3 linked regions of the Coturnix japonica genome follow. The protein of the gene in region 2 binds, or shares a complex with, the protein of the main gene of each other region. Links are inferred from orthologs where the notes say so. Each region holds a gene or a part of one and is shown on either strand. Other genes may lie near its edges. The genes, in order: NCBP3, NCBP1 and nuclear cap-binding protein subunit 2.

Region 1 (9,799 bases), on a different chromosome or scaffold from region 2:
ATAATCTCCATAGAGCACGAACTGGATTTAATTCAAACTGAATGTGTATTCATAGCAAAATCTTAATACCTAATAATTAGCAAAAAACCTAACAGTTATGCAAATAAAAATTAGGTGCTTCAAGTAATTAATCAGTCAACAAATAAAACTGCAACAAGCAATCAATTCATTATGCTTGTTAAGCTGTTCATTTACCTTTAGTAGCAAATCTCATGAATAGCTTGTTTCCTTTAGCCAGTTTATTGGCAGGGCGAAGATCATTACGCAGGAGAGAATCCTCTTCTACCTGGGTGAGGGCATCCAACTTTGGGGGCAAAAAAGGTATTTTGGACTCAAAAATAAAATTACTTTTGAATGAAAATGGATTGCTCGCAGAGAAGCAATCCCTTGGTTATTAAATTACTTTCCATGTTCTGTTCAGACTAACTCCACTTCTTTCTTGACAAGTTATCACGTATTTTAAACTTTTTCTTGCCAAAAGGTTTAAAATATTTTTGTCTCTTCCTCCCTAACACTTGTTCTGATTATTAAATCAGTTCTCAAATGAAGCTGCAGTATGACTGCAATGAAGAAAATAAATAAACTCGGACACTGAAAAAGAAAGACTTGATTGCTTTTGTTTGTTTCATCTACAAATGGTTTCACCAATGGGGTCTCTGCCTTCACACAGTGACTTACAGGCATTATTGTTATTATTACTATTTATTTATAACTGCTTTCCATAAGCCAAAATTCAGATTTCCATAATCTGGGTGAATGTTTGCTGAGCCATCCCTAAAGAAAATACTAATGGCACCCATTATATAAATTCAACCAGTGAAGATTAAACTACTTACAAAACATCAGTGTGTTTGCTGACGCCCACACAAATCTATGGGCAGCCTAAGTCCCCTTTTTTTCCCTACTTTATACACTGTTTTCTATACTGAAAGGAAACTGCCTTCCACTATTGTTTTTTCATTATCTCCTTTAACAGGCAGGCAGGCAGTCTAGATAGAGCAGGCAGCCTAGCTCTTACATGCTGACTGCCCTATTAGTCTTCAAAAATTACTTTCACAAAGCATTTTTATGAGGCTATTCTCACCAGCAGAACATCTGCACTTCCTGCCTTTTTCTCCACCTTATTTCCTTCAATAATTAAACTGTAAATTATGAGCATGTATGGTAAAAACTATAATGTCACGAATACATCAGTGAGAGCAAAATGTCCATAATGGGGTTTTCATTTTCTTTCTATACTGACCTCAATGTCACTTGGATTTTCATCCTCAACCTCGCCTTCTTCTGTCTCATCATCAGTACTTTCCTCCTGTTTTTCTAAAGAAGAAAATAATTGGGAAAAGAAATCTACATTTTAATGTTCCAGTTCATTTGAATATTAGTATCTAAAGTCTCTGAAATCAAACTGAAGGGGTTTATCAATTCCTCTGTGCAGCCTAGAGAGTAATCAAAACAGTGAATGTCTACAGAAATCTGAAGCACACATGAGCACAGAATAACATTAACCAGACAGCCCCCATACAGGTAAGTGCCGGAGGCAGCGTGCACGGATTATCAATTTACTTATCTGAAAGCAAATGAAACTGCACTGCAATTTCAAAGTATGACAGAGATCAGCAAAGACAAGACTGCAAAACGTGGATCAAAGCCTGTTTCCTTCCACCTCCCTTCTAAATGCTGCAAGTACCTACAGGTATCCAGTACTCACAATGTGAAGCAGGTTACTACTCAAAGTAGGGAGGGCAGTGACTCAGTTCTGAAGTGAAATAGCTAACAGAGGAGCACACACTTCCCAAACTACATATACTATGTGTTGTCTAAATAGGTTTTTCAGGTTTTCTTTTGTTTGGTTTTCTTTTGGCTCACAGAAGAAAATTATTACGGAAATTGTTTTTGAGCCTCCCAAAAAGACACATGACTAAAAAACCCACCTCTATATTTCACAGTTCCTTCTCTTAAATCTCCTCTGACTGAACTTGACAACTTCTAATAGAGAACCACAGCTATTAAAACTTGACAACTACACCCAAGTTCAAGGGAAAAACTAAAGCACAATGAATCAATCTGATCCCAAAAAGAACTTCAGGAGACAAATTAGCCAAAATCAAACATTAACTGACTTCCACCAGGGACAGCATTCAAACATCAGGTTTTATATAAGCTTCTCACTGTAAAGACATGTCTCCTGCAACCCTAAATGTCTACACGGGCCTCAAGTTCTCATCTAGAGACATACCTAAGCCAGATTAATATATCTGTATGCACCCCACACCTTAACATGTGATCTGCTTAGCTTGTACTCCATCCAGTATCCCACTTTTCCAGCTGAACAGGTGAGTAAGATTATGTAGGAGGAATTTAAATGACATGATTTTGATGATGTAACACGTACACCGCAGCCAACAAGATTAATATTAAAATATACATATCTTTATGCTCTATTTAAAAAAGACATTCACTAATCTCCCTAAAACTTTGTAATAGATCTTGCATTACCAATATTTTAAAGTCACATGGATGGCGGAGGAACCACTGCACCATAGAGAAAAGCAACAAGAAGAAAAGGGAATGAGTTAGAAGCATCCACAAGTTTAAAGCCCAAATTTTAACAAACAGGCTTTTGGTAGAACTGTGAATATAGAATAGAGAAATTGTCCATTTGCGTTTTGTTCAAATGCTTTTTAAGCAAAATCTGGGAAGAGTTCATAAATAAAACACCCCCCTTCACTTCGTACTCTTTAGGACAGTACTTTGAACAATGAAATCACATTGATCTGACTCTTAATTTAAACCACTACAATGAATTTCTAACTAAGGCATTCAGATACCAAATTTAGCACAAGACTGAGCTGTACTTTCAGTGCCCTTTTATAAGGGACCTTTCAGAGTCTTTCTGCCTTGAAAGAAAAACAGTCAAATTTAGACTGCTAAACACAGAATGATATACACAGCAATGTGGATAGTATACATGAAGGGTGGTGTGGTATCAAGCCAAAGAATAAACTGCAGTATTCCAAAACTAGGATATTTTCTTACACCTGCTGTTTCCACAGTTAAAATATCCATCCTTCCACTGCCTTTGCACACACATAACACAGACTTATTTCCGTGCAACGTGGACCACTACAAATACCACATCTGGATCTGACCCTGCATCTAACATGTTCAGTACTGACCAAATTACTGCTGTCGGTCTAACTCCAACCCACCTTTTAAGAAGTAGTTTCTTCAAAAGGTTTCCAAGATGAAAGCCTTTTTTAAAGTGGCAGAATACATTTACCTGCAACTATATGATAGAAGCTCCTTCAGTAATTTAGATTACGCAGTACCCAAGCACAAGTTTAAAGCTTAATTGATTTAATGAGATGACATCTGTATATGCATATCTCATCTACCTTTCTTGTTTTTTTCTGCTGTCTTCTCTTCACTGTTTTCTCTGCCTTTTGGTTTCTCTTGATCAGGAAAGGAACTCATGTTTATTAGAGCCCGTGTTGCTGTTACTTCATCAAGCCAGACCACATTGCCTGTGACATACAGATAGAAACACACACAAAAGTAAAATGCGCTTTGTGTAAACAAGCAGTCACATGCACTGCCTTAATGCAGGGAAACTGCAAACAGAAGTGTCAGAAATGTTCTTATCGTGGGACATGACTAAAATGTAATCAGATCCATCTCTCATGAGGGAATTCCTGTTCTTTAACCCTTGTTCACCTGGGGGACACACAGCTTTCATCCAGTTACAAAAACACACAACAACTGATCATAACTGAGCCCACCAAAATGCATAACTACACATATATATCAGAGCAGAGATTACTACAGTACTGGATAAGAGCCACTGAATTTCATGAATGTGTTAGCACAGAAATGCAACTGAAGATCAAAAAGAAAAAAAAAAGATAAAACAGCAACCCAAGGATTATTTCTCTATTTTTATTTAAATTTAACCAAACTTTGGACCTTAGCACATTACTCTGTTAACCGTTTCCAAAGAGCAGATAAATAAGAGACTGCTCAAGCACTTTAAAGAGGCTACACAGTACGTAAGTTAACAACGGGAGTCAGTAAGTGCTTCACGTATACCTCAAGTATCAGCAGATGCTACTGAAGTAAAACTTGTAAGGCCCATTAAGAGCATTTTATACATATTGATGCAGAACCTTTTATCCTTCTGGCAATCTCACTGCATTCACACTCCTCACAACAGCCCTTGCTATGTGGATTTGCATTCCCCTTCCAATCTATGCACGTCTCATTCATCAGCCACCTTCCTCCACCCACTAATTCTTCCCTGAGAAGGAACTAAACAAATATAGCAACAAGTCTGCTCCCTCCCAGCACAAAGCCATACCAGCCTCTTTTAGCTGCATACAGTTAATTTCCTCTCTCAATATTATCCTCTGTGACACAAGCAGATACACTATTTGTGCCAAAACGTAAGCAGTACCATACTTTTAGACCATTTTTTTTTCACGTCAGAACTGGCAAGCTACTTTATGTTGTTCCTTCCTGATAATTTCAGATTGTCAACAAACAGTTCACAGTATCACAGTCTCGTATGGGTTGGAAGGGACCTTAGTTCTTCATCGTGTTTTCTTTACTCCATTTTCTAAGAGCTACACAACTTACTTCTCTATGCGTTGATATTCTTCCCTCTTCAGCTTTTCTAATTGTATTAATTAGACCACCATACTTTGAACAGTACCACTTTAACTTGTAATGAACTCAATTCACGTCCTCCACAAGTGACTCTCCTGCCCTGACACTTTAATCACTGTCCACTCTCTTATCTTCCAGTGCATTTATTTTACTCTCCTTCAACATCAGTGATTTGTGTAATGGTAAGCTATTTAGGTCCTTTTAAAATCATTTTCTTTCTAAATACTCATTCAGACAGTGGGTTTGATTTTCAACACACACTATTAATTCTTAATAAGTCTCATTTGGCTAAGGTTAATGAAACGGAAACAGATAGACAAAGCCACAAAGACATCCAAGGTACAGCTACACTGATATAAAGAATGACAAACAAGATTCCATTGACTTACATGAAGTATCATCTAACCACTCAATGTGAGCAGGAGGATACTCTTTGAAATAGGCAAAGATGTCCTGAGTACTCATTTCATCCACCCCACAAATGTAGATTGTGTCCAGTCTCACTTTAGGAATTGCTATAAAAGAGGAAGAGAGAGAAAACTGACACTCATTTCTACAAAGCAAGTTTTTACGTTCATAACATATGGATTTCTAAAGCAAACATTCAAAATAAGTTAAAGGTGTAAAAGAATGATGTTCACCATTCTACAACACCAGAATTTGAGTTATTCCACAATGTAAAATGTTAACTGAGAATTAAAAAGAGAGAGAAAGGTGAAGGGACTGAAAAACATCAAACTGCCTTACACAGGTTTTTTTCTCTTTTTTTCTTTAAAATGCTACTAAAGTTCTTCCACTACGTACCAAAGAGCATAATACTAATGAGGCCCATGACCAGGACATAGTACAAGTTTTGTGCAAATCTCATGGAGAGATTTTACAGGCCTCAGCTCAGCTGGTCCAAGCTGCCAGCTGGACAAAGGCCTTGGGAACTAACTGGATGCCAAAAATGCCTATCTGTTGTGTGTGCACATCTCTCAGCTTATCTGCTTCTACTCCAGCACATCCAGCTTGCCATCTTACAGCACATGTGCCATCACTCATGGAATCTGATCTTTCTGTGCACAGGACACAGAGTCCTACACTCGCATACAAACAGTGCCTAAGGCCTTTTCAAGGATGTTAAATACACTTAAGGCAGCATCGGTCCCAAAGACAGATCTTGGACACACACACATTAGGTGCCACTAGGAGATAAAACAATATAAATTAAGTAAAGGAACTGTGAGGAAGCAAACAAAGAGACCTTTCCTTCTTAATTGCTGGATAAAATCATACCTTTCTTCATCATGTCTCGATCCAGAGCTACATTCCTTTGGGCAAGATTCACTTCAGCTCGAAAATGGAAGCGCTTTGCTCTTTGTTCCTTTTTCTCAATCGCTTCCTGCACAATGTGAAACGATCCAGTCAAAACAGGAACAGCACAGCCTTCCCAGCAACTGACATCATAAGACTGGATATTAAAATACAACTGACCAAGCAGCAACAAGCTATGTTAATATTTCTCTTATTTCTGAAGAGATCTGTATCTTTCAGAACACTAAAAGAACTCACTGACATGTTACTGTGCTATTTAGTACTTCTAATGCAAGTCTGGCAACGTAATGAGGATCAAAATGCGTAGAAAATAAAATATCCTGAACCCATGACCAGTTTCTATGATGGAACAGTAAGATTTATTTTTCCTTCCTAACAAATGTACAGACTTTGTACACATTTTCAGGTTTTGGACACAAATTTTGCTACTTAGAAATCACAAGAACCCACCCAGATGTTGTTTGCAACCAACATGAAGGAGAATTGTCTAGTTATTGTGTTTTCATAATAGGAAGCTTCTGTGACTCTTAGGAAAGAAATGAAGTGTTTCCTCTTTTCCTGCCGCAATAATTAAAACACTTCAAAGAACCACAGGACAGAAATTACCTTGGATGTTACATCTATTCCAGTAATGAAACTTCCAGCTTTGTTTTCGTATCTCCTACTAGTGTCCTGAAACAAAGCAAAACAGTGATGAAAACTCAATGAATGCTGACTGCAACGTAATCACTAGGCTAAAACAAATCTGGCCTATGAGAAATCCATCCTTACTTCAAGCTACACATCCATACAGAGTCAGGTATATGAGCACTTAACCTCACTGACATCAGTGAGAGTTAAAGCACATCAAATGAACCCAGATTCCTCTGCTATGAGAAACGTGTGCTTCTGCAATAACTGCTGTATTATTAATTGTTCAATTGCTCACATTTTTACTTTGTCTCAGCAACAGGGCAGAAGCAATACAAATTATCCCTGGTTTGATACATGACTACAGACCCAGAGGAAGATTGACAGCACTGACGAACAAACATAAAACTCATTTCCACCAATGGAGACCACTGAAACCTAAGCCTGTAGTGAACAACACGAACCCTGGAGTAGTGACCCAGCTGTGTCCTGTCTGCATGTTTCACAACTGCTTCATTCTGGAACCCTCAGAACCATCTCCTAGGGAAGGTTTGTGACATGAGCAACGTGCCTTGCTATGTCTAAGGATAAATATGCTGCTTACCCTTGTGCTCCAATAATTATTTTGGCTAAAGGCCTTTTTACTAAAAAGTAGGTCAGGCTCGGTTAGAAAACAGTCACACACCGAGCCCAACAGCTTTTCTTAGTAACAAACTTCCCTTAAAGTTACAAGATATTTAAAACAGGAATAGAATTAAACGGAGAACAGCAAAATAAACGTTTTTCAACTGGAAAAAAACAAAACAAAACAACAACCAAACCACTGCTGTCTGGAGGTGTCTGATGGAGCACAAGGAAGTCCATACGGTTGGGTGCTGTCTCTTAGGCCACATATTCACAGAATGACCCGGGTTGGAAGGGACCTCAAGGATCATGTAGTTCCAACCCCCTGCCTGGCAGGGCCACCAAACATACACCTTTACTAGATCAGGTTGCCCAGGGCCCCGTCCAACCTGGCCTTGAACACCTCCAAGGACGGGGCATCCACAACCTCCCTGGGCAGCCTGTTCCAGGGCCTCACCACTCTCCTAGTGAAGAACTTCCCCCTGACATCCAACCTAAATCTTCCCTCTTTTAACTTAAAACCATTTCCCCGTGTCCTGCTATTGTCAGCCCTTTCCAAGAGTTTACTCCCCTCCTGGTTATAGGTTCCCTTCAGGTATTGAAAGGCTGCAGTGAGGTCACCCCGCAACCTTCTCTTCTCCAGGCTGAACAAACCCAACTCCCTCAGCCTGTCCTCATAGGGGAGGTCGGTTGAAGCTGAAGCACGTTGGTCAAGCAGCTAATTAGAGATTAGTTCCTCAAGCATTTTCCACACGCATTTTCCAAACAAAAGCCTACTTAGGAGCGGAGATCAACTCTGACCCACTTTCATACATTCAACCTGACCATAGCTGAACTTATCTAAGAACAGTGAGTACAAAAAATGAGAGAACAAGAAAAAAACCCTCAGGGCCCGCACTGCCTGAGCATCCCATTCACACTCCAGCTCCTCAGCCCGTACCTCCCCCCACTGCCCACCCCCTCCCTCATCTCCCCTCCCCCTTCCCACCCCCATTTCCCTCCTCCCGACCCCTCCACCCCCCGTTCCCTCACATAAACCCCCCGGTGCCTTTAGGGCCGCCCCTACGTACCCTGCCCCCCCTCAGGTGCCGGTCCCTCCTTCGCTCCCCCTGCCCGTCCCTCACCGGGATGAGCTCACGGAGCGATCGCCTCACGGGGATGGTTTCCAGCTCGCCTTCTTCCACCTCCATAGGTTCAGGCTCAGTGCCGCGGGGTTCTGCCATTGTCGCCGTCGCTTCAGTCTTCACCGAAATCCGCAGGCCCCGCACGGCCGCCATGACTCCCCGAGCCCGCCCTCCGCCCGGCCAACGAGACGGCCCAGCCGCGGTGCAGAGCGTCACCTCCCAGAGACACCACAGAGACGGCAGCGCGGATAGAGCGCCGCCAGGAGCCGCTGCAGAAGCGGCGCCAACGCGCTCAGGGCGGCCATAGAGACGGGGAGACAGAGCGGCTCCCTCGGCCCTCCGCCGGCCGCCATTTTCCCGTCCTATAATGATGGTGGCAGAAGTGAACTGCCTTCCACAGACGTTTCATTCCATACTTGGAGATCTGAGGGGTCTTTTCCCATCTTAATGATTCTAAAATCCAATAGCAGGTTGTTAATGTCAGTTATTTTGCCATTGCTGACATCACCCAGCCAACACCTGACAGGAACCACCAAGTGATATATATCAGTGCAGGTGATATTTCCATGCCAGATGGGAATGGATTATGTGAACATATGAGAAGTAAACAGGGCAGAAACACCCTGAAATCATCAGTAGAGGGAAGATTTCTGTGACAGAAATGCTGTTATAAGGGAAATAAAGGATACAGAAAGGATACAAAGGATCTAGATCTGTATATGATGTAGGAACAGTCAAATCAGAGGAGGAAAACCAGGCCTGAATGCATGCAAGGCTTTGGCTGCTGAATAGGTGAGCAGAATCTCTTGATACTTCCCAGCTTTTCATTATGAACTGTGAATTCTTCACAATTAAAGCTGATCTAATTTCATTCTTCTAAGTCTCCATCTCTGTTCTTTTCCACTCAGCGCTCAGGACTGCATCCTCTGCCTATAAAATGTGAACGAAGGAATGCAGGTTGGAGCAGAAAAGCTCCACCTTTATTGCAGCTTTTGTGCTGAAAGGGTGAATCAGTGGTAGTAAACTAGTGAGGAGTGGAGTGTTAATGATGAAACAGGAATCTGGAGAAGGTTCTCAGTCATTATCTAGAGAACTAAAGAAAGGCTGTTAAAAATAATAGAGTGACTGAACAATAAATCTTTCCAGCATAAAAAAAAAGCTTCTTAGAGAGGAAGTATTATTCATTTCCCCATTAGTGACCACCAGAGGGAACTCTTGCAATAATATTCCCAACTGCCAGCAGTTGTGAAAGAAACCTGCTGAAACCATCCAGCTCCTGTTGATGTTCAGCTGGAAACAAGGGAAGATGGGTTACAAAAGGGAAGGAGAAAAAGAACAACAACTCTCAGTCAAAAGGCAGCTTCTCTTCTTTCTTTCTTGGCCTGGCAGGAGTCTAAAAATGATTATTTTTATCATTGCAAGAGACTTCTGGCTTGTTTATT
Region 2 (10,412 bases):
CTCCTCATCGACTTCCTTTGCACTGTAACTTTGTCATCCAGTTCATTTCTGCAGATGCACTGAAGTATAATTACTGCACATCTTCAAAGCACCAACTATTCTGGGAGAAAGGACATCATATTTTGACCTGGGTTGTACCATGACACTACCTGCAAAATCAGTTCACCCTCCCCTGCAGGGGTTACGTACCTCTGGGTCATCAGTGTAGTCAAACATCCTAAAAATTACCCTTGGCATGGGATATACTGAGTCTTCAGTGTGAGGTGGAGGAGTGAATGGTGGCAGATTGTGTTGCAAAGCCTCACAAAGAATGCTATCAAAAGCCAGGTAGGGCCTCAGAATGTGTCGTTCTTGCCAGCGGTCTTTTTTCAACTTCTGAATCTGAGACCAGAGGCAGTCTAAATACTGAAGGGAAAAAACAGTGAAAAACATCAGATGTGCTGAATCCAATAACAAAAGTTGCAGCTTATGGTGCAATCAGAAATGCATGCCTTAAATTCAGGAAAAATAAAACCCAAAAACAAAACAACAAAACAAATTTCTTAAATTACTTCTTGTGGGATCTAGTATTTATTAAATCAAGAAATAAACCAAAAACTAAACATCAGAGCTGCTCCCAATTTCACCAAATATCCTGTTAACAAAATTTAACCACTGTTCTTAAACAGCAAAAGACAGTCCAGGCAAGCATGACAGCCACCCTTTGAACACATCTGCAAGACTACAGTCATTTCAGTCAGTGCTCACAAGTGGTATTCAAAGAGATTCGGTATCTGTACTTAAAAGTGAAGAGACATTCTGGAGAACCACCATGTTCAAAAGTACCAGCTGCTGCATACTGAAGACAATTGCAATAGTACCAACAATTAAATATATTTGCTATGATTTTCAGATCAATTGGAAACCCTAACACTCTCTCAGAAATGGTACACACACTTAATTGTAATACTAGCTACATGTCTACTTTGTCCAGCTGCTTTCAATGCCCCTGCTAAAAGCAGGCTCAAGAAGTCTGGAGGCCACAGACTTTAGCAATCTGTGTGTGGCCTTACTGAATGCACGTTTTAAGGTGAAAAATCTCCACAAAGAAGTCATTTGCACCACTCTATGAAATGGAAAAAAAATACGAACAACTAGCACCTGATATGAAAAGTAACACTGAAGGTATGCTGGACATCACAAGCTCTAAAATGCTTTCTGCTAATCTCTTTTTTACTAAACTAAATGAGAAAACAGATATTGCGCAAGAACAGTACTCATGATGAAACAGTCATTATCAGAAATCCTATTTCTTCAAATTGGCATTAACAAGACAGTTGTTAAGACTGTTGAGATTTAAAAACAGGGATTTGATTTAATCAGAACAGAGAAAAATGTACAAAGGATTACTAGTCAAAAAACTCCCTGAAGATACACTTAATTTTTAATCACACTTTTCAACCAAGTTTGCCCCCAAACTTGGGGGAGGAATAAGAAGAAAAACAAAAACCAAAACCAGAGAAGGTAAACTCTACACCAAGCTACACAGATACCACCTCCACTCTGTAGTATTTTTACTTTAATTGAAGAAAGATGGCACAGAAGCTGCTGAGTACAGTTTCTGTACATTTGTTTAGTACTTCCTAGTGCTGAGAAAGCAAAGCCACTTTAAAGACTCCTTCCTAGCAAAGAGAAGACACTATGGGGCATGGAATTACACTTTGCTTTTCACAAAAGTAGCACGAAGCCTTCTATTTGCAGTTCCAAAAGCACTGCCACAGCTTACAGCCATTCTTCATTTAGTAACACCTAATACTCACCCCATAACATGCCACAACTTAGGTCTAAGATTTAGACAGGAACTCCTTACCTAGAACTTGTTTTAAATAATGACAAACAGGAGACAATTAACAGCACAAATACTTTCAGAGGTACCTCTTAATCTTCTAGCTGTCTGAATAGAAGCTGCCTGTGCTTCTACCACAACAGATTTTCAGACTTTCTCAAAGAATACAATACAGAACCCACTCACCTCTTCCTGTGGATGCGGTTTATCAGCAGTCCAGACTTGTAACATTGGAACGTGAATCTTCTGGCGGCGTCTGTTTACACAGAAAAGAAAACCTAACCCTTAACAGCATTTTTAGTACAGTCACAATAAGGAAAAAAAAAAGAAAAAACAAGTACCCTACTACTTAATCTCTTCAGTTGTTGAAGTCTAGTATGCAAAAGAAAAAAAAAAAAGAGTTTTAATTATCATCTCTGCAATCATATCCTGAGAGCAATCCTAACTTGAATCACCTAGACAAAATCTAGTCTCACTGCACAGTACTAAGGTAACCTTTCAGTATTTGCAGCAGTTACTGCTACAGCTGTCCCAGCACAAGCTGGACAAGACTGTCACCATACCCTAACAATAGACAATGCAACTAAACTTTTAAATTTTAAAAGGTAGATTACTCCATCTGTCCATTTTTACAGTGTTCTTACATTTCTCCATGCATTCTCCCCCCAATCCCAACGAAAACAACTTAGACCTAGGACCTGGTATTTTTTAAATGAACACTAATCAAGGTTATTGTTATCCTGAATAAGTACTTGAAGGAATATTTTACAACTTACTTCAGATAGCTTTCTGTTTGTGATAAAAGACGATCCATCTCAGCATCCTTTTTTTCATACAATTCCTTTCCAACCCAAGGTAAAGATGACAGAAATGCGAACATATACCAGTCACATCGTACCTACAGGAAAGAAATATTCTGAGACTTAAGCACACAACTAAGCTCTAGAAGATTTCCTACATACATTCCATTTTAATTTAAACTACTGCTTTGTGGTGACACAAAGATCAGCAGCTGAAGACTCAGTAGGTAAGTAATGAAGAAAAAACATACATTACTGCTAGAAATGTACAACTTTTAACTTGAACTATGACAATCAGGCTTGAAAACAATCACTTTCACAGTCTTCCTGCAGTTATCTTTATATTTTGAGTGTAAACAAACCTGGCAGAACAAGCCAGGCACTGTGCAGCTGCCAAGGTAAAGTAAGATTCATTCAGTGCAGATACCTCACTATGGAGGCTCACACTTCCTTACTATACATAAGTATTTCCCAACTGCCAGGGGCCACTTTCACTCATATCAAGGAACATGCAGATGCCAGTCCATCTAGGTTGCTGTCTCTAAAACCATCCTGTGCCAAGCATAAGTACAAAAGCAATGGTAAAGTAATGATGTCCTTGAAAACAGCCCTGGAGGAGCCTACAAATCTTTGACTTACTTGTGGTACGTCTTCCTCCTGTGTCACGCTCACAAAGTTCTCAAACATAGCTACCATCGAAGGTGCAGCTATGACATGACAATTCACAAGATCAGACAGAAAACGAACCTAAAAAAGACCAAAAAAAGTGTTTTCAATGAAAGTATTTTAGCTGGCTGCTCGAGATAAACACTACTTCAACAACTACAACCAAAGATACAGGTAATCATTCAGCACTAGGAAGGCAGAAATACTGCATACTGTACAGGTACCCCTGGCAACCACAAGGAACAATGTAAGCACAGTCAAGCACAGTTTGCTCATTATAATGTCCATGAGGTCCATAATGTCTGTAACATCCGTAATAACTGTAACACTACAACTCCTAATAATGGCAGGGTGGGAAACACCAATATGCATTTAAAGGCATGCAAGCACGTAACAAAACATATAGAACAACCACATTTTCTCTTCCCCAAGTGTAAAACAAACAAACAAACCCACAAATGCCTTCTTAAATGCTGAAGTTGGATTGATCAACTTCTTCATGAGTCCAGAGGTGAACCAGAAATGGCATCATTTAGAGTCTTTCAGATGAGACAAATTTCCATAGTTATTTGTTCATAAACACAGATAGCTACAAAGGGAAAGCTGATGTAAAAGCTGACTGCATTGTCAGGTCTCAGAAAGGTGAGCAAGGCTAGGAATCAGCCTTGGCAATGAAAACATTCCTCATGGCAGGAATACATCATTCATTTGGAGGCATACTAACAAGAAATCCAGACCGGCATAAATGGCAATTTAAGTAGAAAAGGTTTGGGGTACTACAAAAAGTTTTGGGAACATGTTATAGTGGGAACTGTTCTCTTCTTTCTTCCCTCATCAATGGGCTTTAAAAGAAGCAGTGTAGCTTGCAACTGGTCTTCTCTCTTATAAGATCTCTGAAGTGAGAGCTGAGCAAGTGGCTTCAGAGAAAGCACTAACAATTGTCTGCTTTCTCTGACTACCCCTCTTTGGGGGACAAATAACACAGGCCTGGTAGCAGTCATGAAACACTAGTTTTAAGACTGAGCCTTTTTTTCCCCTTCCATGGGAGCCAAAAGAGCAACTAATACAAAATATCAAAAAGCATGAGTTTCATCCACTTTTTATACTTTGCTGCAGAAAAGGCTGGCAAGAGCAGAATGACCTCCCTTGGCTGCAAATTAACTTGCAACTGAGGAAATACACATTTGAAACACAGTCTGCAACTGTGACATGATTTTTCTCCCCTTGGGAAGGAAGTACTCCTCATATAACATACAATTCCTCTCAGTTTATCTACATAAAAGCAAGCATCAATGAAATTTAAAGACTGTAATACATGTAGAAAGGCCAAGTTCTCATGGAAAGGTGAAAGGGAGGAAAGAAAAAAGGTGAGGAAAACATCTAACACAAAGAGACACTTACTAAATGCACAGCTTCATTGTACATATTGACTTTCAGACATTCTTTAAGCTGACGAATCATGGCTTCTACAAATTCCCCACCAAAGTTGTAGTTCCTGGCATTCAGCAACCCAACTAGTGTTGTGTAAACAGTAAGCTTTTCTGGTAACAGACGTGCACTGACACAGAAAGAGAAACACAGCGTTAGCACTTATTCATCATAAACCAACCAACAACAGCATACCAGCCCAGAATTTGCTTATAGTAAGCTAAACTTGTTTCATGTGGAAGTAACAAAAAACATTAACATAATCTGTAGTTGTTCCCATGGTTAATGCTTTCAGACTGTTTCTTTTTCTAGGAGGGAGGATTACTTTTAGGAAAGCAGATGTCACTTGCAACTAATTTAAGTAATTTGCTTTTTATTTATTTCTAATTTCTAAGTGTCCTGGAGATGGGGCTAAGTAACGTGATAGAATTTATTCAAAGATGCAAAACGCTCTTTTAAGACTACACAAGATTTACACATTTTACACTGATAAATTTGATCCTAAGTTTCTTCAGTCAAAGCAATTGATTTAGGGAGATTGTAGGGAAAAAACAGAAAATGGTGGGTCCTATTGTAAACAACTAGCTTTCCTCAACCTTTTTTGCATACCTGTAGACTAACTCTATATTTTCAAATACATTTTACCACTATAGGGAGTGACTGGAGTGCTGCCAGCAGCCCCTCTGTGTTCCCAAGGATGGGCTCATTAATCAGCACCACCACATGCCCAGAGCAGAGGAACAGGCCACAGGAAGGCATCACAAGCAAGAGGTACTGGCAGCCTACAGGTTCAATGCCTCTATTTCTTTGGGGGGCAGTGTGTTACCCAGCATTGTGCTTTTGCTGCTGCTGGGCAACAGTGCTGATTCTCTTCTGCTTGAAGCCTTGTATACATTTCAAGTTCACATACGGCAAGGAAATATTTTCCTTAAATTACCCCCAGAACTCAGTGAGTTCATCCCTTCTATTTCTTCTGTTTGTAGGAAAGGTAACAACAGTTGAGAACTAAAAAACCACCACAGAATGCTCAGATTGCCTCAAACACTCCAATGTTTCCAATGCAAGGAAAGCAAGCACCTCTCAGTCCCCCCCAGCCTGCATACGTACACAGTACACAGAATTCTTAGTATCTTGCTTTTGTAATTTGGCAGATCAGCTTCCAACACACCAGCTAGGCCCTCCAAGTTGCTCTCCAGGGATGAATTACTCTACAGAAGGCAAAATAAAGGAAGAAATAAAGAAATGCTGCAGCATCAACCAGACAACACTTAGTCTAACAGCGCCCATTGAATACAGCAGTACACCAGCCCCGCTCCGTGCGCCACGCGGCCGCCGTTGTGTCCTACCTTCTCCCCCACTCTGCAGATGAGCGACTCGAGCCTCTCCTCGATCTCGGACGGCTCCGACGTCCTCCGCCTCTTGTGGGGCTGCCCTGCTCCACACAGCGACCACACCGTTAACCGCCCAGCCTCTCACCTGCCGCCCACCCATCCCACCCACCACAGGGCCACGCAGGGAGAAGCGTGGGGGCACCCATCGCTCACCATCGCTGTCATCGCTATCATCGCTGTGTCTCCGCCGCGACATGGCGCTGAGTGACGAGCACACACCGGGCCGCGCCGAGCGGGACTCAGCCGACCGCGCTCCTTCCCCGCCCGCTTCCGTCGGCCTCGCCTCCACTTCCAGTTCCGCTTTCAGCCCCACAGCTCTTCCGGGGGTGGGGCCGAAGGAGCAAGATGGCGCCGGGCGAGGCGCAGACGGAGGCTGTATCTCGGTGCAGCGCTGCGGCTCAGGCGGCCGCCGCTAGGAAACAGCGTGCCTCCGCCAGAAGGAAGGTACGTAGGGTGGGCACGGGGCGCTGGGGCTCCAGGCCGCCTGTGGTAACCGGCCGCCTGTGGTAACCGGCCGCCTGTGGTAACCGGCCGCCTGTGGTAACCGGCCGCCTGTGGTAACGGCCGTCTGCCTTGCAGGCGTTCTCCCTGTTCGTCAAGGCCAAAGAGGTGCCGGCCGCCTACCCGTGCAGCGGGGCGGCCGTGTGGTGGAGGTGCTGCCGGCAGACGTTCCGTGAGCGCCGTGGTATCCATCGGCACGTCGGTACGCAGCACGGCGGGGACGTGGAGCAGCAGGCGGCAGGGCATGGCACCATCAGCAGGGCGGTGTGTGCTGAGCGGGCGGGAGGACAGGCCTGTGGAGAGCTCTGCGAGGTGCTGCCCGACACCAGCGGCCTACGCAGCGACGAGCTGACCAGGTAAGGCCGGTGTGGCTTATGCTCTATGCACGAATATGTACTCTTGCTTTCTATTTTGCTACAGGAACCTGAGAATAGGAGCTATAAGTTTTCAATGGAATGTGTTGAGTTGCAATGAGATACTTACATGCATAAACTGACAATAGCAGGACTCGGGGAAATGGTTTTAAGTTGAAAGAGGGAAGATTTAGGTTGGATGTTAGGGGGAAGTTCTTCACTAGGAGAGTGGTTAGACCCTGGAACAGGCTGCCCAGGGAGGTTGTGGATGCCCCGTCCTTGGAGGTGTTCAAGACCAGGTTGGACGGGGCCCTGGGCAACCTGATCTAGTAAAGGCGTATGTTTGGTGGCCCTGCCAGGCAGGGGGGTTGGAACTACATGATCCTTGAGGTCCCTTCCAACCCGGGTCATTCTGTGATTCTGTGATATAAACTATTCTATACATTTTATGAGGACTGCTCCAGAATTAATCCCTAGCTTGTCATGCAGCCTCTTGTTCATCATTAGTGAAATGTGTAGCTAATGCTGGTGGCAATGCTGAAAAACAGTGTTTTTTAGGTGATAAGTTGTTCTAATAGTGTTATTGTGCTCTTTGCGTGGGCTGTATTTTCTGAGAGTATATAGGAGGCCTTAATTTTGGATCAGCCTTACATATATGTGGCCCAAGATGATTCTGCTTCAGTCAGTCTAGCTCAGGCAAGCCAGAAGGTGGGACACCACACCTTAGTTCATAGAAGAAGGAATTTTGGAACTACCCTTAGTTTATATCTTTTCTCTTGGAAATGAGTTAGACTCAGCAGTTCTAACCTCTCCAGAATTTTGTGTTTTTTTCCCCTGTTACATCCACCAGGAGAAAATCGTCAGCTTTTTAAAGGGTTTGTGCTTTCAACTCTAACATCCTTTTCCTACTTGTTCATCTTTTGTGTGTTCTGGGCAGCAAGGTGGGAGAAGTACTTCTGTATTACTGCTACTGTGAGGTGAAGGATCCAGAGAAACTTTGTGCTTGGCAGAAGGCTCTGTGCCAGCATCTGCATCTCACTGGCAAGGTAAGGTTCTAGGCAGATATATTAAGATATGAACATGTGAGTGAGTGATGTACTGTAGGCTCTGTGATCAATGATGCTCATTTTACCTTGTGATGAGGTAACAAGTGCAGTTCAGCATGCCCTGAAGGCCAAGCTGGACATGCAGCACACACAGATTGGGGTCTGCTAGATGTGTCAATACCAAGTGCAGTGGTTGGGGTCATGGCACCAAGTTGTAATTCAGAATTGTCAAGAGTGAAAAGCGAGCAACTAACTGCTTTGGTCACACCACAACATAGCAGTGCTCCTTCCTACATGGTATCTTTGTTCATTTTGAATCATGAGAACAGCTTTTCCATATTGTGAGAACAGCCTTTTGCATAACTTGAGCAGATACAAGCTGAAGGACAGGATGCTTGCATAAATGTAAGCTCAAGTACAAAATGTGGAGGCTGTGAAACTAACAAGTGAAGATAAGAAAGTGAAGATAAGAAAGTAGAATAGATGTCCTGTTGTTGAAGATGGGAGAGTGAAACAGATGCCTCAGCTCAACAAAACACCAGTACGAGCTGGTTTGGACTACCCCCCCCCCCCCCCCCCTTAAAAGGTTGGAAGTTTATCATGAGAATGACTATTTGGCTTCATCCCATGGCCACCAGAGGTGTTAATTATTTCTTGGAATTTCATAGAGTCATCGAATGGCCTGGGTTGAAAAGGCCCTGCCGTGGGCAGGGTCACCACCCAGCTGACCAGGCTGCCCAGAGCCACATCCAGCCTGGCCTGGAATGCCTCCAGGGATGGGGCATCCACAACCTCCTTGGACAGCCTGTTCCAGTGCATCACCACCCTCCATGTGAAAAATTTCTTCCTAATGTCCAACCTAAATTTCCGGTCTTAGTTTAAAACCATTCCCCCTTGTTCTATCACTATCTACCCTTGTAAACAGCAGTTCTTCCTCCTGTTTATATGCTCCCTTCAAATAGTGGAAGGCCACAATGAGGTCTCCCTGGAGCCTTCTCTTCTCCAAGCTTAACAAGCCCAGTTCCCTCAGTATTCTAGAGTGGTGCTCCAGCCCTCTGACCATCTTAGTGGGCCTGGATGCAGCATTCGAGATGGGGCCTCAGAAGAGCTGAGTAGAAGGGGGATTTCTGCCCATGTCTTTGGAGTGTAATGAGTGTGTATATGCAATACCCTTAAATACGGAGTCTCTGCTTCTCTCAGTGCACATGTACGTATTATACACACTCAGTGTTGTAATAAAGGGAATGCCTGCTTGACACTCATTGGCATGTCACGTTACTTTCTCACTTTTCTCAGCTTCAGTTTCATTTTGGGCCAACAGGGCACTTGGCTCATCTAGCTGGCTACTGGAGGCTATGGGCAGAGGCAAATTCTGGGCTCAAAAGCTCCTAAGAGAGGAAGACTTTTTCAAGAGGGCAGCTCAGATCAGGACACTACTTTGATATATGACCTGTCTTCCTGAATAGCTTTTCTTTCTATGCCAATAGTAGAAGACCTGCCTCTGTACCTTAAGATAAGCCATGTTGTGTTCAAGTGCATTACTGCTGCTGGTGGGTATCTTTAAAGCAGAATGGGTTCAGTGCTCCATGTTCTACAGACCCAACCTTCCTTACTCAAAAGGAAAGAAAAGAAGACATCTCCCTTAGTCCACATCTGCAGAGTCTGAGGGTAAAATGTCCTCTGATGCACTAACTTCTTTTCTTTGGCTCAGTATCTTTTCTAGTGGCTGGATAGGGGAGGAAGAAAGTCTTTTTTTCTTTCCCTTTCCAATTTGTTTCAGCAGTTGCCTTTTCAAATGCTTTTTTTTTCTTTCCACTCCTGTGTTCAGTCTTTTTTCTTCCCCATTTCACCTCAGAAGTTTTGATTTGTGTCAGTGATGTAGGTGAAATGACTCATGCTGACATTTAGTACTGCATGCTGTATTATACATTCTCACATTTTCCTTTCAGCTATCTGAGTCATTGAGCACAATCCCACTGCTCTTCCTGAAGCAGACTTTCAGTAGGAATTTGAATGCTGACTGCAGTATTTGCTTGTTAATCATAGAATCATAGAATTGCTCAGGTTGAAAAAGACCTTAGAGATCAAGATCAACCACAACCCAACCATACTACCCCAGATCTTAACAGCCCTCCTCTAAATCATGTCCCTGAGCACCACATCCAAACTGTTTTTAAGCACGTCCAGGGATGGTGACCCAAGTACCTCCCTGGGGAGCCTATTGCAGTACTTAACAACCCTTTCTGTAAAGAAGTGTTTCCTGATAGCCAACTAAATTTCCCCTGGTGCAACTTGAGGCCATTTCCCCTCCTGTCACCAGTGAGAACAGACCAGCCCCACTCTCGCTGTAAGCACCTTTCAGGTATTGGAAGAGAGCAATAACGTCTCCCCTCAGCCTCCTT
Region 3 (10,473 bases), on a different chromosome or scaffold from region 2:
CATATGTCATTCTTTAATGTATGGGGAGGAAAATAGACCTTCAAAGTTTGGCATGATAAAGAAGGTATGATTTCACTAACCTCTCTTGGCAGCCTCACCAACATGTCCTTGCAGCGCTGCACACATTGCATTGCTTTCTGAAAATCCCCCTGAGCAACTGCCTAGGAAAGCAGAGCACGCCAACAATCTGTAAGTTAACTACTTGCCTCTAAAATCTGTTACAAGACTGGGTGTCTAAAAAAAAAGACTTGGATTGTAGGCCTTTTTTTGCATTCAGTACAGCCAAGTTTGAGATCAGACATCTGTCCTTATGGTGCTACAATAGTTCAGTACACTTTTACACACTGAAAGGCATCCAGGAGGGCCCTGCAGCCCACAGGTAGTGTGAAAAGGTCAGATCCGTGGCACTGATTCAAACAGATGTCAGATAACAGCAAATCTTGGCCAGCTTAACAAATCTTGCAACACCTTTCCAGTAATGTAAGGTCCTCTTTTTCTTCACTAGGAGAGTGGTTAGGCCCTGGAACAGGCTGCCCAGGGAGGTTGTGGATGCCCCGTCCTTGGAGGTGTTCAAGACCAGGTTGGACGGGGCCATGGGCAACCTGATCTAGTAAAGGTGTATGTTTGGTGGCCCTGCTAGGCAGGGGGGTTGGAACTACATGATACTTGAGGTCCCTTCCAACCCGGGTCATTCTGAGTGATTCTCTTTTGTCTCCATTATCAACTAGAAATTAAATGAAAAATTCTGGCCACTGATTTGGTCTGTTTGGGGAAGCTCTTCATTGTTTTGAAGACAGTGCTCCCCTTCTGGATTCTGAGATCAGCGCTGCTATCAGCAAATGGAAGCAGCTGAATTATCTCATATTTACACCCATACGTCCATAATAGTCTGCAGTGTTGACAAAGTACTCAGAAGCTTCAGTCAGGCAGCAAAAATCAGGACAATGCCTCTCAAAACACAGAATTTCTGATTTAATCTGCCTTACTGATCCCCTGGAAAACACTCAGCATATTTTGAAACCTCTCACATTCAGCTAGACTTCTATCTTTAAATTATCAATCATAATTCCTACCTCGTTGTATGATGACAGAGGCTGAGACTTTAAGGAGAATTTCAAATGTCATGGAACTCATTATTTTCAAATATTGCCTTTTTCTACCCATTCTCCCACTGTTTCAAGGCCTTTATATGTGAAAAGCAGCATGTATTGGGGTTCATGGAAAGGAGGGTATCCATGTATAGGAAGGTTTCTATCCAACAACATTGAACAGTAATACCTTTGATTATATTGCTCATAAGAGTCAAGAAACTTGTAAGGTAGAGAAAACTCTGGAGCTGTGGCTCAGAACATCTGCTTGTCAGACATGAACCACCACCAGCACCTTCTTTTGCTTTTCAAACAGTTTAGTTGCAAATCCCAGCACAGTCTGAGGAGTGCTTTGAAATGACCAATTGTGCTGTGTACATGCTACACAAAAGCAGTTATAGGGACCTAGGCTCTAAGGCAGTTCTATCCCCTTCCTTGGGCAAGCACAGGTCACCTTTGGAATTGACACGTGATTCAGAAAGGCAGCTGTTGTATAAACACCCAAATTACAGAGCAACAAATCTGAACGAGAAGATATAAACAAGGCAGCAGAAATGACTGCGATAAATTAGGCAAATTAAAACCCATTACATTATTGCAACACCACATTCAAACATCACATCTGATACCTTACATCTAACCAAAGGAAATATATCCTTCAGCAAGCCTGCAGTGCCATGCATTCATACAACTAATTAACGGGTCAGAGTTTCTCTCCATACCCCCCTAGGGATTTATAAAGAGAGCTGGGAGGAACACGTACCGATTCAGCCTGATAAGAGAGCACTTTGAAGAGGTCCTTCTCCACGTCAGCTTTGCACACATGAATATCTGCTTCACCATTGCCCTCCTTACGTAATTTCGCATACAGTTTTTCTATGCTCTGGAAAACAAAGCTTAAGCATCACCCCATGGAGGTCACAAATAGGTGTGTTTATGAAGAACTAGAATCAGAAAAGAACTTACATTTATAGCAATCTCTAGGAAACCATCAGCAAGATCAGCTTTGCCAATATCTATCCACCCTTTACCAGTTTTCATCGACATCTGAAGGAGAAAATGATTGGTGCTTTGTGAAAATCCAATCACTTCCAGGACAGCCAGTGTTAAATCCCTTCTTACTGATATATATATAGTGTAGGTGAGAGGTATTCCAGCTCTTCAGTTTGTCACAAGTGTCTCTCACATCTGAATTAACTCTACTTGCAGCACGAGGCTTAAGGTGCTCCACTATACAACACTGTAAGATACTGAAATAAATGAACGTGCTGCTCTTACAACGTCTTAACACACGACAAAGATGTGGTGCTAACTGCATTGACTCAGCAAGGCATCCCTTTGATAACACGGGCCCACCTTCAGCATGTTATCTTCTCTCACTCACTTTCCATAATTTACAGGCATCTCTCACTCACTTTCCAAAGTAACTGCAATAGGTTTCCAAGGTTTCCCACAGCCACCAGCTGTACTTCACTGCTCACCTGCCATCAGCCTTACCAAAATCTGCCTCCGAATGGTTCCCTCTGGAGGATCGCTGCCTTCACAAAGGTACACCAGCCTGCAAGCAACAAATCTCACTGCAAGAAAGTAACGCGTATATTTCTAAGTTCCTTTTTGTTGCTGTTGTTGAGAAAGTCAGTTTAAAATTATGAGAGAGAAACTTTTGGAAGCTTCAGAATTAAAATTTTAGTCAAGCTGCTTTAAATTGCTTCTCAGGCATCAAAAAGAAAAAAATCCATCCCAAGATACCAAGATATTCTCCTCAAAACGTCTATTAAACACTTTAGAAAGAGTTTAAGTCAAAGACACGGCATTCAAAGACTTAATTACATTGCAGGTGCTCACTGTAACATGCCTCGAGCACCTCAAAACAGCCTTCAGCAAAGTAGGGAAATCAAGTTTAATAATCTTTACGTTTTCAAAGTAAAAAGCACAAGTATCTTCTGGCCTTTTTTATACACTGGGGATAGAAAACACACCACTTAATGTATTTAAAATAGCCTCTCCCTGGCCCTTCAGCTGTGATATAAGATCTGAGAACATTATGTTCTACAACAATTATCACTTATTTTGTGTAAACTTACCCTTTTCCCTTCACCTGACATCACTTAACATGATGCAGATTATACTTAATTTTAACCGCTATCCCTTAGGACAAAAATGTAGGCCAGATACTGCAGTCCTGCAGCACCACATAAAGAACTGGTTGACAGCATAGACCAAAAGCTCACTTTGCTTTTCCCCAGCTCTAAGCAAACCCACCAGCTGTATGTAGATGGCTATAGATGGCTGTATATGGAAGGCTATAGATAGAAATTGACAGTCAAAGATTTACATCAGTGTTATGTCCACACATTCACAATAGCATCACAAGGCAATGCAGAGTTTCCTTTGGAAACATCACCTCTTTATTGATGCACTGGCACAGAAAGAGGGAATGATGAGAATACCTACTCTGATTCTGTGCCACAAAGAACATCACTGTTATTCCATGGTGATCCTTCCCAAACTGTTTGTGTAAGTCCAGCTGCTCAGTTTCCTCTGTCTATACCCTATCGGCAAACATCCAAACAACCCACAGCACTATGTATATACCTGTCAGCAGGGAGCTTTTCCTTTCCACACTGCAGCACACAAACACATTGAGAAAGGAAAAGAATGCATACATACATTTAGCTCTTTGCTCATCGTTGATGACAGAACTTGTGTGTTTGGTTACAGCCCAGTTCCACAGGCTTATTGCACCCTCTTCAACCTGAGAGAGAATTCCATTCCATTTAATTTTATCATGCGTTTGGATTAAGTTGAAATTTACTCCTGAAAAAGCTTCCATCTTTCATGTTTACCACGGCACAATGTTTGGACTATTCTATTTTACAGACTGGGTACTCCAAGGGACTGGGAAGCAGTTAGCAGGGATCACACGCTTTTCACAAGGATATTTCACAACATATTCTCAGTCTTCTAAAAGACTATTTCCCATCTTCTGAACGTTTGAGAGTCTCTGAGATGACAAAGGTAGGAAAGAACATGGCTGCAAATCAAAGGCTGCCATGGCCTGAAACTAAGAAGAGCTAATTAATCATAAGATCAATAGCAGCAAGCACATATATGCCATGTCATCCATCAGTGCCTTCAGCTCCGATCTGAAGTTAAACCAAACAGCAAATCCTGTTTGAGAAGTGGTGGACTTCAGAAACATTCAAATATGTTCCTGAACAAATCCCATTAATCTGCTGTATTGCTGAAACAGCCTGACATATGTTTCTGTCAAGTCCTTTTCCAGGCCTAGCAAAACATGACCTGATTTACCCCATCCATCTGGGATGAAGTTTTCTCACATGCATTCATACATACAAAATTTGTGCAACAGCACATCGCCACATCCAAAACACAACTGAATCCCCGGCAGCTTTCAGAACACATTATGTACATTGTAAGCAGATGTTGTGAAATTAGAAAGGGCTGGAAAAGAGAAGTGTATCAGATTTGAAAACACATCTATAGTGTGACTTTAACTCTTTGGCCTGTATTGAATTGTAAGTGGTGGAAAGGACCCTTTGGGGCCATTTGATTCAGCTCCCTGCACTGAGCAGGGACACCCACAGCTCTGTCAATGCTCAGAGCCCACCCAGCCCGACCCTGGGTGTCTGCAGGGATGGGGCACCCAACTGATCTCCGGGCAACCTGTGCCAGTGCCTCACCACTCCTACAGTAAGAAACATCTCCCCTATATCCAATATAAATCTCCCTTCTTCTAGTTTGAAACCATTTCCCCTAGTCCTGTCACAACAGACCCTGCTACAGAGTCTGTCCCCTTCCTTCTTACAGCCTCTATCTACAGGCTGCTCTCAGCCCTCTTGAGCCTTCCCTTCTCCAAGCTGCACAGCCCCAGCTCTCAGCCGGTCCTCACAGGAAGGTGTTCCAAGCCCATGGTCATTTTTGTGGCTCTCCTCTGGACACACTCCAACAAGATTAAGTGGTTTAATCGTCCTCAGTAGCAACCCAGAAACTTCTGATGTTATCAGATAAACAACAAAAGCTATGGACTGGAAACTCTCGTTAAAAGCTGATGCAGCTTTGCACAAAGGTAATAAACCCTGATAACCCAACGTTGCGGACAAGCCGGCAGTGCTGAGCGCCCCATGCACGGGGAAGGACAGGCGGTGCGCGGCCTGCTACCTCCGCCGCGCTGCCGTCCGCCTCACTGAGGGCCCCCGCCGCCTGGAACAGCTCCTCGGTGAGGGCCGCGATGCGGGGCGGGGCCTCCTCCCTCAGCAGCTCACGGAGCAGCTCTGCAAGACAAGCCGGGAGGGAAACGTCAGGCTGAGCGTCGGAGCGGCTACGCAGCCGCAGCCGCAGCCGCAACCGCAGCCCCCGGGCGGCGATATTGAGCGGCCGGTACCTCCCGCCGCCGCCATCCGCCCGCCCACCATGGCCGACACCGCCCTGAGGAGAGCGCCGGGCCACCCCGCGCTGCATGCAGGGAGCGAAGCGGCGCGCGGTGATTGGCTGCTCGGCACGATCGCCCCGCCTTTCCGCCCCGTGTAGCCAATCAGGCTGCGCGGCGGTTGGCCTGCCCGCTAGGCCGCTGTCCTGCGGGAGTCGCGGCGGTTGTGGAAGGATCCCGGGATCAGGGACCTGCCGGGAGCCGGCGAGACAGAGAGATGTCGGGGCTGCTGCACACCACGCTCAGCGGGCTCAACAGCGACTCGTACTGCGAGATCAGCCGATACCGGGACCAGCACTTCCGGGTGCGCGCGGGGCGGGGGCAGCGGGGCCTGAGGCCGAGGGGCCTGTCTGGGGAGGGGGCTGCGGGCGGGGCGGGGCCGGGCTGCCAGGATGTGATGTGCCATAGTGTGGCCCCGTCACGGTGTGGCCCCGTCACGGTGTGGCCCCGTCACGGTGTGAGCCCGTCACGGTGTGAGCCCGTCACGGTGTGAGCCCGTCTCGGTGTGGCCCCGTCACGGTGTGAGCCCGTGCTGTGCTCCGCTTTGCCCTCAGGGGAGCAAAAAGCTTCAGGAGAAGTTCCTGAAGATCTCCTCCACGCTGTACGTGGGCAACCTGTCCTTCTACACCACCGAGGAGCAGATCCAGGAGCTGTTCTCCAAGTGTGGCGATGTCAAGAAGATCATCATGGGGCTGGACAAGGTGAAGAAAACAGCCTGCGGCTTCTGCTTCGTGGAGTATCCTTTCTGGGCCCTATTTGCAGTAAGATCAGCTGTCAAAAACCCTGAAAGGAGTGAAACTCACGGGGCTCCCTTCCAGGCATACTGCTGCCTGCATTCCCAACACCACCCAAACCACCCGCATTGCCATAGGTGAAAGTCGTGTGTGGATGCTGAGCCCTTGTACGGCCCAAGCTATGGGCACGTGTTCACGTTCTCACCTTGGCTTCACACCTGCAGAACCAGCAGGGAGATCCGTGGTGCTGTTCCCAAGCACAAGGCATGTGCTCGTACACGTTGTGCTGCGAGCTGTTTGCAGAGCTCTCCTGTGAGGCCGGTGCCTCCTGTTCAAATTCAGTTGAGTTTAATGTGGTATTAAAAAAAAAAAGCATCAGATTTCTTGCCCTTAGCAAGGCTTTAACGGTTTGCTTTATCTACTTGTGAAATAAGTGATCCAAAGCTGTTTCTTGTCTGTACAGGTACTAACATTGCAGCCAGAACCTGAGGAAGGAGTGGGAGCTATTTTCAGCTTGGATTTATAGAGTACAGCTTTTTGATCCCATAGAAAAGAGCGGGAAAAGTAGAAAAGGCTGGAAGACAGGAAAGGTTCTTCTGCTTCTTAAATACAATGGCTTGATATTGGTGTTTTTTTTACCCTACAGGCAGCAAAGTGGCATGTTTAGTTTTCCTTATGGTATGGTTTAGATATTACACAAGAGCAGATGCTGAGCACGCAATGCGATTCATCAACGGCACACGGCTCGATGACCGCATTGTTCGAACAGACTGGGATGCAGGATTCAAGGAGGGACGGCAGTATGGAAGAGGAAAGACTGGTGGACAGGTAAAGGCAATACCAGCTCAGGCCTTGAATACAGTCCCCCTAGGGCAGTGCTGTTTTGTTTGTTTTGTCTCATTCAGAAGTGCAGACCCAGCAATGAATTTTAGGTGATATTGGTAACTAGTGCTACCTTGGTATAAAGAGCTGGAAGCATAACTATGGCTACAGCTGGACAGGACTCCATGACTCCTCACAGTACAAGCGAAATTTTCCCTGTTCCAGGCTAGCAGTTTTTAAATGATGCAGAATTTGAATGGGGAGGGAGCACAATTTCTAGATCCATGATGGATTCATGATCCATCAGTTTGCCCTGTGAGAAGCTAAATTTCCCTTACAGATTTCTGGAGGGTTGGGGAAGGGAGAAACGCTCTGGAGGCCAAGCTTAGCAGTTCAGAGAGTTGGAAGCTGGATGACAAAGCTGAATCAAAATATTTTGGGATCTTTGCTTCCCCTCTAAAATGATCTGACAGCAGATGTATCCTCATTTGTCACTTGCACCATCTGTTTGGTGGATTGTTTGAAGAGATTTCAAACTGAGTCAAAGTAATTCTCACCTGAACTTCATTTCTCAGACTACGGAGCAAGGAAGTGGTGATGATTCTGAAGCCTAACATGATGCTAATACTTGTGTTACTGCCTTGCTCCAGGTGCGAGATGAATACCGGACAGACTACGATGTGGGAAGAGGAGGTTTTGGCAAGATTATACAGATGCAGAAGGCAAATCAACAGCCTGCAGTCTACTAATTGCCTCATGGGTTCTAGCTCGTAGAGGGCTCTGTTCTTCTTGAGCTAGCCGTGTTCTTGCGTTTTGGATTGGGGTAGGGAGTGAGATCCAAGTTCCAGCAAAAGGTGACCCTCCTTAGACTGTGGATATACATGTGTTCATTCCCCCTTTCTTCTGGATTAGAGAGGATGTTCTGTGCTGATACAGGGCAACAAGGGAAACAAGTGGACAACTCTGCAGGATTCTGGTAAGAAGAAATGCAGCATGTCACACGCACCTCATGTTAGGATGTACTCTTTGCATTACAGCTAGGCGGTTGGCTTCTTCCAAGCCATGATTGCAGCTGTGGTTGCTCTCAGATAGAACTCTGTGAACCGTGCCACTGTTGGAGCCCTGTAGGTGCCCGGGCACCTTGTTGGGATGCACAGAAGTTTCAAAGTTCTAATTTACAAGTTCACCTGCTTACAAAGCAGTTTCACTATTTGGATGAGAGAAGCTGAGCAAGGTCTCGCTGTCCACTTGGAGGTGCTTGCCTGTACATCTAGACCTTGGGTTGGTCAGGGCCTGCAGAGCCTTTATGATGCCCCAGTGCTGCCTGCTTTTTCAGATCCTCACTGTTCGGCATGGTTTTCTTAAAAGTTTCTTTCAATTTTTTAAATAAACAGTGAGTCCTGTACCTGTTGCAGTCTGTGGCTCTATGACAAGACCTGCAGGGAACATTTCCTGATGGTACTTTAAAGTTGCTGTCACTTGCAAACACAAAATGGGGGACATTCTAAAGGAGGGCACAAGTCTTGCTGTATTTCTGTTGGCTTCCCTCTTACTAATAGCTTTTCCTCTTGTGCTTTGCAATAGCTGATGGCTGGTATCAGAGGGAAGCTGCTTATAAAATGCTCTGAATAAGTAGTCTTTATGTTTCATACCAACAGATTCCAGGAAAACTTGTGATCTTGTCAATTATTCCACAGTGTGAGACATATATGAAGCAATACAAAAGTGTAACTTGCATTTAAGAGAAGGAGGAACCAGAAACTCCCCTGTGTTCATGATAGACTTTCTTCCCCATTTAAGAGAAGCATGGCTGATACTCTTAAATTTTTCCCAGGGTCCAACAAGGGAAGAGAGAAGATTAAAACCCCCACTGATCTGTCCTCTAGAACCTCCCAGCCAGGGTTACTGGTTTCATTGGACAAATTAAATTCTGACTAATTTGGTTTAGTGTGATGTAAATAATAGTAGCTGTTCCTTGTCCAGTAATGTGTAATCATGATATTTCATGCACTGTCTCATCCAAGATAGTACATGCTGTTCTATTGCACACCCATGTGTAGACCAGGCATGTAATTTAATGATTTTAACTCTCGCATTACAGCTGAGGAGGATGGTATGGTAGCATTAATGCCTTGAGATGTCTCCTACTTGCTTGTTTTGCAAGTCAGGTTGCTGCATTCTGACAGCTGTCACAAGTCTTGAAGGAGCAACATGTTTAGACCTCACCTGACTGAAGAAATGACAGGGTTGACAAGCCTGTGATACGAGCTGCCCCTGAGATGCAATGAAAGGAGCAGGATGTTGAATTTGAAGAGAAGAATCTAAGCAGTTGTCTGCCAGCCTGGCAGAGCAGCATCATGTGAGGTCCTCTGAGGGGATATGGATTACATAGAAAAATTGCTTGGGCAAACAGCTAGCAGAAGGGAAAATGTGAGAAATACGGGGAAATCTGCTGTGAAACTCTTCTGTTAGCTACAGAATCTCACGTATATGAGGTAGGGAAACAAGGCAAGATCTCAGTTTGCTCCTGATATGGCATGTTGGTCATGTCATTCCTATGTGTCTGATAGAACATGTAGAAATCTGTTCAGTCGAGCACCCGCCTGGGCTGTTTCATGACTGTGGCAGGCATGTCTGTCCCTGCTCTTCAAGATACTATAATTTCTTCTCTGCACTGGTCTGCATGTCCTGCTCGTTTCAGCCTGGAGGGAGAGTACCTCCCTCCTTCAGCAGGTCCCAGACCAGTGTTGGCAAGCTGTGCACTTCCCCTTTAGGCATAACATTTGCGAAGAGATTTGTGCTGACATTTATTCAAATACGTGTATTTGCTTAAAAGAATTCATCTCAAATATTACAGCTGCAGTTAATGCCTTCCTTCTAAAGCCATCCATCCCACAGAGAATTAAAGAGAGATGAGAAGGTTTACAAGTAAGTAGGTGATCCCAGCTCTTAGCCTATGCTGCAGCATGTATGTACCTACATGGAACCACACTGCAGCAGTCAGAAGAGCCACTCTTGCCAGGGGTGTGATCAAAGACCAGGGCTGCCAACATGCTGGAGCAGCCCCTCCTGCCCTGGCTGTACTTGCTGGAGCATTGTGCCCAAAAACCTCAGGCTCCAGGGTTGCTTTTCAGGCATCTTTCATTAGGCACACAAAGGCACCATTAGAAGAAGAAAAAGTCCTTTGTCCTCACAGAACTGGGGCAGTGCCAAGCTGGCAGTGCAGCTAACAAACCAAGACACCTGAAGTGACCCAGGAGAAAAAGTGCAGCTGGGCAGCAAGCCTGTGGCTGCCTCTCAGAACTGCTAGCTGTTAACCTGCTGCAGGCAGCAGCCACCAGACCCAGTGGCTCTTTCAGCAAATGACTCTGACACTGAG

The links.
Region 1: the proteins of NCBP1 (region 2) and NCBP3 are in contact, whole or in part, in a cryo-EM structure (PDB 8BY6), measured with the Homo sapiens proteins. The link is inferred for Coturnix japonica from reciprocal best matches to the Homo sapiens genes NCBP1 and NCBP3. Residues at the interface, in NP_002477.1 of Homo sapiens: Lys330, Ile377, Glu378, Cys380, Lys381, Pro384, Pro388, Gln389, Ala392, His420, Asn423, Phe424, Gln425, Arg427, Trp428, Ser429, Glu431, Asp432; in NP_001107590.1 of Homo sapiens: Glu572, Asp574, Glu576, Leu577, Gln578, Ala580, Trp581, Gly582, Leu584, Ile585, Lys588, Glu589, Arg592.
Region 3: the proteins of NCBP1 (region 2) and nuclear cap-binding protein subunit 2 are in contact, whole or in part, in a crystal structure (PDB 5OOB), measured with the Homo sapiens proteins. The link is inferred for Coturnix japonica from reciprocal best matches to the Homo sapiens genes NCBP1 and NCBP2. Residues at the interface, in NP_002477.1 of Homo sapiens: Glu32, Cys36, Leu71, Thr74, Val75, Arg77, Leu78, Leu79, Ser324, His325, Trp326, Lys327, Glu328, Arg329, Lys330, Ile368, Val370, Met371, Thr374, Glu378, Asn415, His419, Ser422, Asn423, Gln425, Lys455, Arg458, Leu459, Ser460, Tyr461; in NP_031388.2 of Homo sapiens: Gly4, Leu5, Leu6, Lys7, Leu9, Arg10, Ser11, Asp12, Ser13, Tyr14, Glu53, Glu54, Gln55, Tyr57, Glu58, Leu59, Lys62, Ser63, Asp65, Lys67, Ile69, Tyr89, Asn96, Arg99, Tyr100, Asn102, Gly103, Thr104, Arg105, Leu106.

The regions. Positions count from the first base shown.
Region 1 is NC_029534.1:3,963,166-3,972,964, forward strand, and holds the start of NCBP3 (nuclear cap-binding protein subunit 3), read right to left. Parts: upstream 8,604-9,799; 5' UTR 8,511-8,603; coding exon 8,304-8,510; intron 6,652-8,303; coding exon 6,586-6,651; intron 6,047-6,585; coding exon 5,941-6,046; intron 5,178-5,940; coding exon 5,052-5,177; intron 3,525-5,051; coding exon 3,396-3,524; intron 1,318-3,395; coding exon 1,244-1,317; intron 305-1,243; coding exon 196-304; intron 1-195. UniProt on the Homo sapiens protein: Associates with NCBP1/CBP80 to form an alternative cap-binding complex (CBC) which plays a key role in mRNA export. NCBP3 serves as adapter protein linking the capped RNAs (m7GpppG-capped RNA) to NCBP1/CBP80.
Region 2 is NC_029547.1:62,573,017-62,583,428, forward strand, and holds the start of NCBP1 (nuclear cap-binding protein subunit 1), read right to left. Parts: upstream 6,413-10,412; 5' UTR 6,307-6,412; coding exon 6,264-6,306; intron 6,152-6,263; coding exon 6,066-6,151; intron 5,928-6,065; coding exon 5,827-5,927; intron 4,850-5,826; coding exon 4,693-4,849; intron 3,373-4,692; coding exon 3,265-3,372; intron 2,724-3,264; coding exon 2,602-2,723; intron 2,082-2,601; coding exon 2,012-2,081; intron 406-2,011; coding exon 190-405; intron 1-189. Other genes in the region: TSTD2 (thiosulfate sulfurtransferase/rhodanese-like domain-containing protein 2), read left to right, coding at 6,456-6,554, 6,690-6,967, 7,902-8,010. UniProt on the Homo sapiens protein: Component of the cap-binding complex (CBC), which binds cotranscriptionally to the 5'-cap of pre-mRNAs and is involved in various processes such as pre-mRNA splicing, translation regulation, nonsense-mediated mRNA decay, RNA-mediated gene silencing (RNAi) by microRNAs (miRNAs) and mRNA export.
Region 3 is NC_029519.1:2,391,284-2,401,756, reverse strand, and holds nuclear cap-binding protein subunit 2, read left to right. Parts: upstream 1-5,627; 5' UTR 5,628-5,755; coding exon 5,756-5,842; intron 5,843-6,092; coding exon 6,093-6,274; intron 6,275-6,961; coding exon 6,962-7,100; intron 7,101-7,744; coding exon 7,745-7,843; 3' UTR 7,844-8,767; downstream 8,768-10,473. Other genes in the region: TEX11 (testis-expressed protein 11), read right to left, coding at 81-161, 1,852-1,971, 2,055-2,135, 2,586-2,665, 3,759-3,843, 5,271-5,383, 5,494-5,524. UniProt on the Homo sapiens protein: Component of the cap-binding complex (CBC), which binds co-transcriptionally to the 5' cap of pre-mRNAs and is involved in various processes such as pre-mRNA splicing, translation regulation, nonsense-mediated mRNA decay, RNA-mediated gene silencing (RNAi) by microRNAs (miRNAs) and mRNA export.